2 linked regions of the Styela clava genome follow. The protein of the gene in region 1 purifies or fractionates together with the protein of each later gene. This does not show direct contact. Links are inferred from orthologs where the notes say so. Each region holds a gene or a part of one and is shown in the gene's direction. Other genes may lie near its edges. The genes, in order: eukaryotic translation initiation factor 6 and BRCA2 and CDKN1A-interacting protein-like.

What was found.
Region 2: the proteins of eukaryotic translation initiation factor 6 (region 1) and BRCA2 and CDKN1A-interacting protein-like purify together in Homo sapiens (affinity purification with mass spectrometry; 3 studies listed by BioGRID and IntAct, counting the BioPlex papers as one, with this or other methods). This does not show direct contact. The link is inferred for Styela clava from reciprocal best matches to the Homo sapiens genes EIF6 and BCCIP.

The regions. Positions count from the first base shown.
Region 1 is NC_135258.1:18,963,046-18,969,204, reverse strand, and holds eukaryotic translation initiation factor 6, read left to right. Parts: upstream 1-4,046; 5' UTR 4,047-4,132; coding exon 4,133-4,870; 3' UTR 4,871-5,419; downstream 5,420-6,159. UniProt on the Homo sapiens protein: Binds to the 60S ribosomal subunit and prevents its association with the 40S ribosomal subunit to form the 80S initiation complex in the cytoplasm. Behaves as a stimulatory translation initiation factor downstream insulin/growth factors.
Region 2 is NC_135252.1:20,952,271-20,959,977, forward strand, and holds the start of BRCA2 and CDKN1A-interacting protein-like, read left to right. Parts: upstream 1-4,637; 5' UTR 4,638-4,775; intron 4,776-5,201; 5' UTR 5,202-5,257; intron 5,258-5,994; 5' UTR 5,995-6,117; intron 6,118-6,838; coding exon 6,839-6,977; intron 6,978-7,707. Other genes in the region: uncharacterized protein LOC144411649, read left to right, coding at 1-101, 627-775, 2,393-2,659. UniProt on the Homo sapiens protein: During interphase, required for microtubule organizing and anchoring activities. During mitosis, required for the organization and stabilization of the spindle pole.

The DNA.
Region 1 (6,159 bases):
CTTGGCTAACCGTTGAGTATGGATTAAACCTTAATTTGACACATAGAGACATGTTATTGGGGGTAGGGCAAGACCAGGGTTTAAATTGTGTTTTATTGTGTGCTAAATATTTTTTATACAAATGTAAACTGCGTAATAAAAGGCCTCAATTTTGCCAATTTTTATATATGATAAAAAAATACTATAAACTGTGAAAAGATTATTGCAACTAAAAATGGCAAACTGTCAACCCATAAGTGAAGTGGAAAACTATCATGTGCTCGTTTATTTAAAATGCAATTGTTATTGGGTCTATATAAATGTATTATGTGATATTGTATCTATATAATGTGATGTTGTTATTAATAGAAAAAATACTAATATGATGTGGCAAATAATCTTTTTTTGGTTTTTCTTTTTGTTTTCCTGAGTGGTTTACCTTAGTTTATTTTTCTTTTTTATTTTAATTCTGTGGTTGTATTATATATTTACGGTTGCATGTATGGATGTGTGGGAGCGCGTGAGTGTATGTGGATTAATTTTACATTTTCAGGTGAGTGAAACGTACCACTTCTTTTGGCAACACCATTCAATTGAAATTCTGTACGTTTTTAACCTTACTCGAGGATATGTTTCCTCTCATGATTCTGTAATCAGTTTTTTATTTGTTTTATCCAATATTTTATCGTCCTTTACCTGTTTACAATGATTATGGAGTCGAAATAAACCTAAATTCTTCATCCTGTCACACCGGAAACTGGGACATGGACGTGCCATAAACTGACTATTGTACATATCGTCGTTGTGCCGTACCTCTTTGTATTGTTATTTGTATAGTCAATTCCATGTCTGTAGTCTATTTGAGGGCTACTCAACTGGCGGACCGCGTTTCGCATCCGGACCTTTAGGGTATTCGATTTGGACCGAGCCTAATTCTTTATTTAGGATCATCAGCTCCGCTTTTGAAGTTTACTTTTATAAAATCACTTTTATAGACTTAAAAATATACGAAACGAACAACTATAACGCCATATTTAAACGATCTTAATTAGCTAATAAAATAACCATTAGTCGGCCGAGGAAGTGCGCTTTCAAGGATGTCGAAATATAATTTCTGGAAAGACCGGACCCAAATATTTTTGAAATTTTGAATGCGAATATTCGGTAAAACTAGTTGAGTAGCCCTGGTCTATTTTATGTCTGTTGTCCTAGTATAACGCAGCGGTCCTAAACTGCTGTTATAATTGTTAGGGGTACATGTCGCACATCTGTGTCTTACGCCAGTAAGGTCTTGAACATGTATCCCTTCTCTGTTTTACTGTTTATTTATTATGCAGGTACTGTTACATTTTTGAGACCAATAAACATACATACATAATCCTATTTGACTCCGAGCACCTAGGTCATGAACCCCCATTGCACCACATTGGCTTCAGCCTCAACCAAGAATGTTTGCTTAGTGAGGTACCGTAAAAGCGCCTAACTTCGGACAGTTCCTAACTTCGGACAAAATTTTTGAACGGCCATATCTTGGCTAAAACGCGCCCTATATTGCTAATTTCAATTATTATAGGTAGCGCTGTTATATCTACATCTATTCTGATCCTTTTTAATGTGGCATTATAATTTTTTTGGTACAAAAACGGCAATTTTGCCGAAAATTGACTGCCCGTCATTCAACGGCGCAGAGCGTCGCTCCTACTAAAGCTATCATCGTCAAAATACCATCATTCGGTAGAGGGCGATAACAATGTATATAATTTATTTGAGTGATCGCAAGATGTCGTACGAGATTTGAATAAAACCTAAAATTCTGAATTATAAATTCCGTAAGAATATTAAGATTTCACGCAGCGTCAAAAGTTACGTCAACCTCACGTAGATTTTTTTTTCGCTCACTTCCGACACGACGTCACACTGCGTCGCGGAAATGAATTTTGACGCCAGACACAACGGCGCCAATATGACAATTTTCGTTAAGATAAAGACGGCGTTCCAAATGTAATATTTTTGTATTTTGTTCGGTCCATGTGTGAATATATGCCAAAATTACATTAATGAAAATACATGTCATACTTAATCGATGACGTTAAAAATCGAATATATAAAACTGTAAAGAATCAAACGTCCGTATGGCACAGTGTACTGACTTAACAATTATTTTATGATTAGTAGTCGAAATGACAGTTATTGAATACGGCCTGGGTGAATTTTATTCACTCGAAGTTACAAATTAATTTAATCTCTAACAAATAAACGGGAATTATATGTTAACGAAATTAAGTTGAACTTCAAATTAAACTTTACAATCGGATTCACCGTGTGTTTGATATAAATTATCACTTATAAAGATAACCGCGCAGAATATACCAAGCTATCCGTCGAGAATATTAATACTTCAAAGACTTCGATAGAAGCCCGTTAAAATACTTCATTGTGGATTGAAACGGTTTGCATCAGATATATTTACGTATGCATTTCCTGATTAAAATGACTAACGTGTTATTATACTCATCTGAAGTATCGAAAATAACGAACGAAAGATGTAAACATAGGACGACGGAAGTTTCAAATAATGCATTTTCGTCGTGACGTCAATGTTACGTTACGACGACGATCGAGCGTCTTATCTTCACGCAACGACGTGATTACGCTATCCGCATCGGAAGCCTCTTTCTCTCTGTGCGTCGCGGTTACGCAGTGACGAAAATGACTGTCCGAAGTTAGGGCAGTGAAGGATAACGGTCAGATGGCAAGAAATATCGATTATTTCAATAGTAAAAATAGTCCAATTGAACCGAAATTTGCAGGAAATGTAAATTACCGCACGAATGTTTTACCGAGCAATTTTGGTACCGTTTGGACAATAAATGGCCGAGTTATTGACGAAAATATAGTAATTTTGTCCGAAGTTAGGCGCTTTTACGGTACGGTGTGGTATTCTGGGATTGCAAATATGAATTTGGCTACCTGTGCTTTCATGTGATTTCTACCTACAGAAATATACCCGGTATAGGTTGAGCGTGGTTAAGCCACTGCGGAACTTTCGAACAAATAATTTTGGGAAGTGGTGGGTCGTGGTGACTGTAGTGCGGTGCGGGTACATGGTTGGATTGGCATACGGTACCGGTACCGGTACCGGTATCCGGCCAAATTGTAATATTAAAGTTGTCTATTACAGTACGGGTATTCTGGTATTAGTTTCCATAATACTGTAATAGGCTAGACAGAATAGACAATTACAGAATTAACTGAACTGTGATAAAATAAATCCTCACCTTACAGACTTATTACCGGTACACTACCGGTACCGGTAATGTATTACCGTACCACAGTCTGACAGTACCTGGTACCGGTAGTCTACCGGTACCGTACCGTCAGACCATATTATAGACTACAGACATCAGACCATGAAAACCCACCCTACCTGTCCTACTGCAGTAGGTAGCCTAAGTTCTCAAGTTATAGTCTAGTTACAGAGTTACCGGTAACTTATTTAATACCAAATCTAGTAATAAAATTTATTGACTCTTATTTGCGTTACCTAGTATCCAAATCCTCTAAAATCAACCAACCATGGTATTGGTAACTATAAAACTGCCAGAGATTCATGGCGCATAATTCTGTAATTCTCTGCATTCATTTTTGGTAGAACATAAATATATACTGATATAGGCGATACCAGTACACATATTGCTGTTATTGGCTTTCACTGTCTGTCTGTATCGAGTTGTAGCTTAGTTCATCAATATATTGTGCATTCAGTTAAAAATTAAATATATACGAGATGAATATTCAAATCTTATCTATATCTGTATATTGCAACAGTAAGACCAAATTTCCCAATGTCACTACTTATCTTACCTTTTAAGGTTTTGGGCTTCCCTGAAAATAGTATAATTTCAAAATGGATTCCTTACACAGGATGCTCAGTAATACACGCTTTCAATTTCTTGATCCATAGTAATAAAAAGTTTTTATGATACTCATCTCTAATATATACTGATATAGGTACATTGTCCTTCCATCCTAATTATCAGTGGAATATTCTTTAGTATGAAGGTTGTGTATGTGTTTCTTTTTTAAAAAGCTTGTTATAACTTTTAAATATAAATAAGTATAATAAATCTCATCAATCGACAGTAGTGGAACAATGGCAGTTCGTGCACAATTTGAGAAAAACAACGAAGTTGGAGTTTTTGCCAAATTAACAAATACCTATTGTTTAGTGGCAATCGGCGGATCGGAGAATTTTTATAGTGTTTTTGAGTCAGAATTGTCTGACACCATACCAGTCGTTCATGCATCTATTGCCGGCTGCAGAATCATCGGACGGATGTGTGTTGGTAACAAACATGGACTCATGGTTCCTAACTCAACGACAGATCAAGAATTACAGCATATCAGAAACTGTCTTCCAGATTCAGTGAAAATACAAAGGGTAGAAGAAAGATTATCTGCTTTGGGAAATGTTATTTCATGCAATGACTATGTTGCGCTTGTGCATCCAGATTTGGATAGAGAAACTGAAGAAATACTTGCAGATGTATTGAAAGTTGAAGTTTTTCGTCAAACTGTTGCGACGCAGGTTCTAGTTGGGAGTTATTGTTGCTTCACCAATCAAGGTGGCCTGGTACATTCTAAAACTTCATCTGGAGATCAAGACGAATTATCATCTTTATTACAAATCCCGCTTGTGGCTGGCACAGTAAATCGAGGCAGTGATGTTATCGGAGGTGGTATGGTTGTGAATGACTGGTTTGCTTTTTGTGGCCTTGACACAACAAGTACAGAATTATCTGTTATTGACAGCGTTTTCAAACTTGGTGATCAGCAAAGTAGTGCACTCACCACACAAATAAGAGATTCATTAATTGACACAATTGTATAGTAGCTAATGTCTATGAGCCACTGCATTTTATACACTGGCTATTGTAAATCCAATTGTATATATGCAAAACATGCAATTTTCACCGGGCATCTTGATAATCAGTATGGATAATACTACAGCAGATAAGTTCCACGCTCGTTGCATTTGTTGGCAAAATTTAAATACCTGGACCTTGGCTGTAATAATATGATTGGGACTGATAAAAAGTCTGAGTAACTTTTAGGATGAGATTGTAGTTGACTTATTTTTTCAAGATTTATCTGTAATGCATTTCAAATTGCAATGCCGCATATTTTAAATTGATCGATTAGGTACTATGTATCATAAATTGGAAAGCATTCAGCTTGTAATGATTTGACTGACAATTACAGGAGATAAAATCGTAACTTCAATTATTGAACTTTTGAGAACATTCATAAATTTAAGTGATCAAGCTCGAACTAACCCCTTCTTGGTAACGGTTTCTATAGGTACGTAGACCAAGTTGATTGTGTGTTATTCAAAGTTGAAAATGATAGCAATTGCTCAATAAAGACTCTGGTGAATCCATATGTTTCTTGTTATTCATGCATTAACATCCAAACTTGATTCTATATGTATTCTGGAGGGGAAGTGGGTAAGGGGCCACAACCCGCGACTTGGGTGGCTGAACCAACAATTCGCATTACCAGATCACTTATGTTGTCTTACAATGTCCCGTACTAGACACTGTACATATGTCACTGGGGATGTATTGTTATCTGCGACGGTGCTTTAAGGATGAAGAAATTTAGTGGGTTAATGAACATTTTGACACTTTTTACTTTCGATATTGAATTTGTTCTTTGTCACTTTGAGATCTGCTTTAGTCATAAGCTATGTTCCACTGGAGACTGGCGAGTTAATCATAGATGGTCCTAAGCATCCGATCGCGTGGATTTTTCGTGTAGAAAACCTGCTCGCAGTAATAACTTAATAGCTATTATTTGATTAGTTCTATCACAAGTCTTTGTACAAAACCACGCGTTTAAGTTGAGTTTTGTTCTGCAGCGTTGCGGTCCGTATCTTATTATTTATGTAATAACGACTTGGAAGGATCACATGCATGGCAACATTAAATGTTTGAGTGAAGAAGTTTCAACCGTATCAACATATTCCGACATATATTAATCACGGTGTGAGTATTCAGGATAGGATTTTCACGTTTGGGAAAGGACAGCCGACTGCTTACCACTATCTTTCGTCCTTTTACCGCCAAATGCCAGGTATGGGATTTACCAGTGTCTTGCGACTTAATTTTATAAGTATAT
Region 2 (7,707 bases), on another chromosome or scaffold:
GCCGATATATTACCAGTATTTGTCTCCTTCGGGGAAATTGATACCAGAATCTGCGGAAACTGTAATTGAAGAATGGCCAGAGCTGGACTTGGAAGATGAAAGTTGGTTCACTGTTATGATTTATTTATATATAGCCGAAGCTACCAGAAAGTTTAGTGCCTCTAACCAAGTGTGCTAACCATCTATTTATTTCAGATTTAAAGTTTTGTATTACTCTTTACAAAAAATACATTCTTATCAACTTATAATTTTTTTTTAATTCTATTTCTAAAATTAATTTGAAACCCTCATATCATAGTTTTAATTCTCGTTTTTGCAAATCTGTATTTCGCCAGATGAGGTAGTTGTCCCCTCAAAAATCTTTAATCAATGATTATGGTGCTGTAGTGAATATATAATGTCGCTCGACATTTTACTCCAAATGCTTCCAAGTAAAAAATGAGGAATTGAATTACTGTATAATATAAAGCTTATATTCCCAATACAATGGTTCAGATACACGCTTCTGTGAGGTACCTGTGGGCTACGCGCCTACGCCTAACCTAATATAACTAATTGCCAATCAATTTGAACATTCAACTGGTTTTGGATGTCCTTGTTTCATCTTATTTTCATGTTTTTATCAGCAGAAATTGAAGAAGTTGACATTGAGTCTGATTCAAACGAAAAGCCTAGAAAACCTCATCACTCTGGACCTATACAAGAAACATATCAACATAATAGAAGGTTACGACAGAAAACATTCTCTAGGAGAAAAAATACTGTGCTTAACCAGGTAACGTTGAAAATCAGTCATACAGTAACTACAAATGTTCATACATATTCACGAGTTTGATGATTAGTGTATTATTTACGAGTTTGATGATTAGTGTATTTTGGGCGCTCCAGAAGTGAGTGTACCAACATGGAGGTACCGGTAAATAATTTTGTTCGCCTACTTTACATCAAGTTGTGTAAAGGGACTGAAGTCTATGGGCAGGGGGTATATTTGCTCGGCTAACACGAAGTCCCGAACTCGAAATAAGACTAAAATAATGAAATTCTGAATAAAATGGTATACCCCGAACCGTATTATGCTACTGTTTATGTTGCGTTGAGTCCTGTGATTGATGTTGATAAGAGATAATTATGTGTTAGAACATTGTTACCCGCTCTCATTGTTGCAGGGTATTTCATGCAATTTCCTCAACTCCTTCGGCCAGGTCCTGTACAGCCGTCCACTGAAATATGTAAATCTTTACTAACAGTCTTTGGAAGCGCCAGACACTTCTTGTCATTGCCTACCAATTTATTTTACTCTGGGTGGAATGCCTAGCTCAAAACATAACTACAAATCCGTCACATGGACGGCCAATATTGAATTGAGGATTAGTAGGCCTACTCGACATTTTGTAAAAAACCATATCCCTAGTTTCTGGATCAAAATCGAGTTCACAGTGAACCCCATCTTGCCTTTCTTACGCTAATCCCATATTGCTAGTCTCTGGAAAAATATCGCTTATCTTGTTCTCATTTTTTCACATTGGCCATTAAATAGAATGTAGAATGTAAAAATTTCAACCAATTGTATCTTTCTAACGTGTGATGCCAACACAGTGCTATTAACCATTAGGCCAACGGTCGGCGAAGTTTTTTAAGCGAGGCCCAAATATTGAAATGGGAAAAGTTGCAAGGCCTAATAACAAATTTGATATGTCTTGATTCTGTTGCATCTGGACATCAAAAGAGCTTGTTCACTCACCCTGATATTGTTGTTGCAGATAACAGAATGATCATTTGATATATGAACAAAAAAAAGTTGGCAAAAAATTTATATATTATGTTGGATTTAGGAAACTTTTTCTGTGTATCACTGCTTACAACTGAAATTTATTGGAGGCTCACTAAAAAATGCTTGGCGACTCACAGTTTGCAGACTACTGCGTTAGGCCATAGCGACCACAGAATGAATAAATTCAATTAAATTAGAATCAATTTGATTATTCGACTCTCATGTTCGGAAAATTCGCTGTGAGAAATCTCGCCACATAAAATTTTGCCACATAGGAAAAATCGCAAGAGCATTTTGCTGTAAAGAAAGTATTTGCGATCAAAACAGTTAGGGTCAGGGTATGTTCCTAATAAATAGTGAGTATGTGGCGAAGTTTCTTATGGCAAGATTTCCTATGGCGAAATATGATATATGAACAAAAAACAGTTTGTTGGATTTGTGTAACTTTTTGAATTGAATTAGGATTTATTAAGGGCCCACTAGAAAATACTTAGGGACCAACAGTTTGCCAATCACTGCTTTAGGCTATTGCGGCCACAGAATGAATAAATTCAACTAAATTAGAATCAATGTGAATACTCAATTCTGTTTTAATATTTCTTTATTAATTCATATTCACAGGCTAAACGTTTAGCAGTGATAACAAATGCAGAAGTGTCTGTCTACATTAAAAGTGATACTGGAAGATACTTCAAGTACGAATCACATCTGAAAGAAAAGAGACATGTTCAGATACAATGCACTGATATCTCCACGTTAATCTATAAACAACAGCAAAGAAAAGAGAAAAGACACGTCAAAATACAATTTGGAGAAAGCTTTGTGAATAAGGAAACGCAATTAAGCGAGGAGCCAGTTCAGGAACGATTTCTAGAGATAACCGACTAAGTTGAGAATTTTTGATGCCTTTTGATGGTTCTCAAACTTTTTAAGCGCGCCCCCTTTTTAGGGTTTGTCAAGTCCCGTGCCCCAACTCAAGAACCAGCTAACAATAACCTACAAATAACAGATAGTGAAGCGAAAGTATGTTTTATTCAGAAACTTGTTGAAAATACGTGTACATAATAATCTAACAAATATTTTGATTTTTAATAAGCTCAACGCTCACTTAAACAAATGGTTACTCCCGAAGTATGTGAACCATGGGTTAGGCCATAGTTTTAGGTACAAATACTACTGGAGTCACTTGGCTAGTCCCCTAATTCGTAATAGAACTAAAATATGGAAAATTGGAATAAAATTATGACTCAACCCTAACCTGGTACACATACTACGTTCCGGTGTCCGTTATCTTGGTTCACATACTTCAAGAGTACTAAAAATTGTCTTCGATCCACTGTTTGAGAAAAATATTTGGTACAATGTAATTATGGATGCTCATATCTAAATATTTGTGTTTTGCGAAATTTTGGGATATTTTGAATAATATAAATAAATTGATAATTTTTCACTGAAATATTGTGATATATGGTTTTGGATGTAGAATTTAGTATAAAATTTAACCATGTGCCTTATGAGTTGGTGCGCCAGATGTTCGGATCATGTATTGCTTTATTGCCACTTGAAATCAGTACTGGTATGCTTTGAAAGTCACTGTGTCTTATAGTATGATGTGCCTATGTGTGAATAAGACCCAAATTAAGCAATTTATTGACAATGTTAAGATAAATCAAATTTTTATTCAAAAGAAGGAACTGTACTACTTGTCTGGGCCACTATTGTTTATAGATACAATATTTTTGTGCTATCGATTGGGTTTTTTCGAGACTAACTACTACTCAGTCTTCTAATATTTTTGGTTTAGAAATGCATGCCCAATTTATTTCGCCTTGGGTGAGGATGGAATTCGATGTTAAAACTGTGATTATTCCAACATTCTGTAAATAAGAACTCTCTTGTGTTTCATAACATCTACTGCTAGTTCAGAAGAAATCCGTAATATCTAAAATACGGTATTGCTTACTTTGTTTATAGTCCGTTGTTGCACAGTAATGACACAGTTTCAATGTATTTTTGTTGGGTGCAGAGGCTGGAGAGTATTATCCATTTGTCTTTGTCAATTTTCATTCTTTTATTCAATATCATGAATTTCACGTAATAGCTTTGACAGTTTGATGGCCTTGCGTTAAAACGCTAGATCAGACTTAACTGTGTAGTGTGTATTATTAACACCGTAAAAAAATTGTTTTGTTTTTGTTGATTTTTATTAATAACAGTTAAGTTTACAATGTATTTGTAATATTATAGTATATTTGTATTTGTAAAAATTGGATTCCTTCTTTCAAAAACAAGTATTCCAATTCAATGTTTCACAGGCTCTATTTCCTAGCGGTCAAAACGGTTTACCTAACTGTGTATTGCTAACGTTATATAATATATCTTTCGTTTCGATTTTGTTTTCTATTTTGTTTCCCAAAATTTGTGGAGATGGGGAATGAAAATGTTTTAAGTCTTCTCACTCACCTGTCAAAGAAGTATGTTTCATTTTTCACTTTGACCAAGCCAACGCCGCTATAATTATTATTAATTAATAATTAACCGCTCACAGTAATGACTGGACTGTTTCATATGCTTTTTGTTGATCAATAAAATGCCAGGCATGTGTAGAGTGTATTTATTGGGATTTTTTTCGCAATTTTATTCCTTTATTGGAAATCGTTATTTAATTTTACTTCCAGTAAAATTTTTCTTCACGACTCGAAAATTGGTAATTTGTAGAAGACAAACATTTAAAACTTTTTCTGAAATAGTTTGAATTAAAATTTATTTATATCATTCACTTAACCCACCCATGGCTGCATTGTTAGTTTATTTCTCTTGTATATGTTTACTTTATTTCAACCTTTCTTCTTTCTGCTATATTTCTAGTTCAGATCTAGAATTTAGTCTTAATTCACGTTATTGTGCCTGATGCCTCAAGGTAAACTCAAAACAAAAGTGAAAATACCAAAAGCTTCACAGAAGAAAGTAAATCATAAAAAGAATAAAGGACCAAAGAAGGGAGGTGAGGATTTTACTTGTACAATGTCAGGCAACAGGTGGCCCTTTGTCCCCAACCCGGCCCGCCAAGAGATTTATTGTGGGCCTTGTCAACACTCAGGTTTTCCCCATCAAGCATAAAATCCTGACCCGACAGTTTATGTTTGAAGAGGCGCACACCTTGGGTAAAAATACATGTTCTTTGCTCTTGTCGCTGCGTTAAATCTTTCGCAGTTTTGCCTGGTGCTTTTCTAACTGGTAGGCGAAGTTATACCGGATTATATCCTCCTGCCTTTCCTGCGGCGCTCTGGTTGAAAAATATATACAGATTTGAATCTTATTCAGTGTTTTATTGAATCACTGCACATTATCTTGTTGAATTTGTGTGTTTTTTTTTATTTGAGCAATTTTTATTTAAAAAGGGAACTATAACGATTTTACTGTTTTTCAGGAAGAGTGATAAAACCTAAAAAAGCAAGGGCAATCCAATCTGCTCAGCTTAAAAAGGTACGATGTTTAGTGTGAATTAAAAGCTACAACACATATAACTTTCAGTGTAGTATTTCATTATAATTCATAATGCTATTTCAACACTCAATTAGTACAGTTTCAGTAACTTTGTAAAATTTGGCTCAACCTATAACTTTACTGAGCCCGGGTATCTTTTGATACTTGTTTGGTACCAGTAGACTGACCACCAGATCGCTGAGATGAGATCACAGGCCCGCCCGACTTGAGTAATATTCAATTTTGATGACGTCATTACACAAAACTTAAAAGTCCAAAGCGAACCCCATAGAAATTTTTGAAATAAATGGAAGTAATAGCCTTCCATCGAAAACAACAGTTTTTAACCACTAAAAATTTCAAAGCAATAGGTCCGATAGAGGTAGATAAATTTATTTATTTACGAACCAAAAGAAATGTAAATGTGAAGGCGTGCAAGCCGTGCATTGATACATACAAATAAATGGACGCTGTTTTGTGGTAAAGACTGGAGGGAGCGATATGGTAGTGATATTTTACAACTACAATAAATACAACAAGACGAAAAATACTAACAATAATAACAAAACGATCTAAAGATCCACTTTGTATTCAATAATTTGTCTTTGACCAACTTATGAACTTACAGCATTATTTTTTGGTTTGTGGCTTATTTTGTGGAATTGCTTGGCTGTTACCCTAACAGTGTTGTCTCGAATGGTTTCAAGTTGTGTGACATTCCTAATTTCAATTCTCAGGGTCTTCAAGTTGAAATTAATAAGAAAATAGAAAAGGAGATTGTCTTACAAGCAGGTAAGAACAGCAAACTCACATTGGTTGGATCTAGTGAGACTTCTTCTACATCCAAGACTTCATAAAAGGTATGTAAATTAGGGAAGAGGCGAAATGTGGAATTCAATCACCTTTTGACCTGGTGTGCTATATTCAGTCTGTGCCATACTTGTTTCTAATTATTCACACTGACATTTTGCCTAATTTTGTCTTTGGTGTTCTTACATAATGTCCAAAAAATTTCCCCTGACTTTATAGTAGTGAAATTTAAAACACTTTTATTGTATGATAAATGGGAACCACAAGCATATTCCGCTACAAGAACTATTACCGTAATGAACAAATAAAATTATTAATTGGTATTACCATGAAATCATCCAAAAACTTTTGGACATCCTTATATTGCAACTATGGTATGCTATCCACTGAATAGAAGGTCCAACTGCCATTTTGTACGTCATTTAATTTTTATATTTTGTTTATTGTGCTCGTTTGCCTGAGTGGATAAAAAAGCTATTTGAAGGATTACTTCTAAAGAGAACTTTTGTCTGTCATTTCAGTATAGGTACTTGAATAGTTTGGCTCGATTTTTGCCGTATGAAGAAGGGTGCTTCAGAAGTGTGTGTAGCCTACCAATATTGTGTGGCTAACACAGACAGTCACAGAACTCCAAATAGAAATAAAATGAGGAATTTCGAATCAAATTATCCTATCTATTTATCCCTTACCTGTCACACACACTACGGTAGTACCTGAAGAAGACCATTTTTCTGTGCTAATATAGTAAACTATGACTCTTTCCTCTTACAGATGGCAGACCCAAAGAAGCCTCGTCCTGAAGATGAAAGTAGTGATGAAGAATGTATAGTAGAAGATATGGGATCAGATGAGGAGCAAGAGGGAGATGAAAATATGGAAATTAATGAAGAAATTCAAGTCGATTTTGAAGGTGGGGCTTTTAAGGGTTAGATCTGACATTGGCAAACACTACAGATCGCAGGCCAAATCTGGCCTGCCTGATGATGCCATAAACTTCTGCATTCAAACAATTATGCATGCACTATGTAGTTGTTGTTATTGAAATCCCAAATCTGTTTTGACAATTGCCACAACCAAACTAAAAACCAAATCTTGTTTTACTAAAAAATTAGCTCAAGGAATTTGTTGAGATTGTGTTTAAATTTAGTTAGGGTTACGCGTTTGGAACACTGTAAATTTAATGTTCATAATATAATATAACTTTTCATGTCACACTTACATGGCCCGCCAGTCTAAATAGGCAAAATTTTTGGCCTCCTGGTTCAAAAACCCCGCTCAACCTGGGTTATATCAGTGTTTCAAAATGTTAATGTCAGTCACAAGATAATCAAAATGTTAGTCACGAGATAATAGAGAGCATAATTTTTTATCTGGCCATGTTTGAAACTTGAACTGATAAAATTTGCTTGAATATAATTCATTTAGTGTGATTGATAAATATTGAGAGAGCAATGCAATTGGACATTCAGCCATTTTTCTACTGTCCTCTCTGGAATAAATATACAAAAATCTAATCGCACCTCTTCAACCCATAATTTTGTGTCCTTTCAAATGGTGCAACTTTGTGTTGTACCTTTCGATAAATGCCAGTCTCTCCTGGTTGGAAATAAACTGTTGTGACAGTTTATTTATTGAAACCA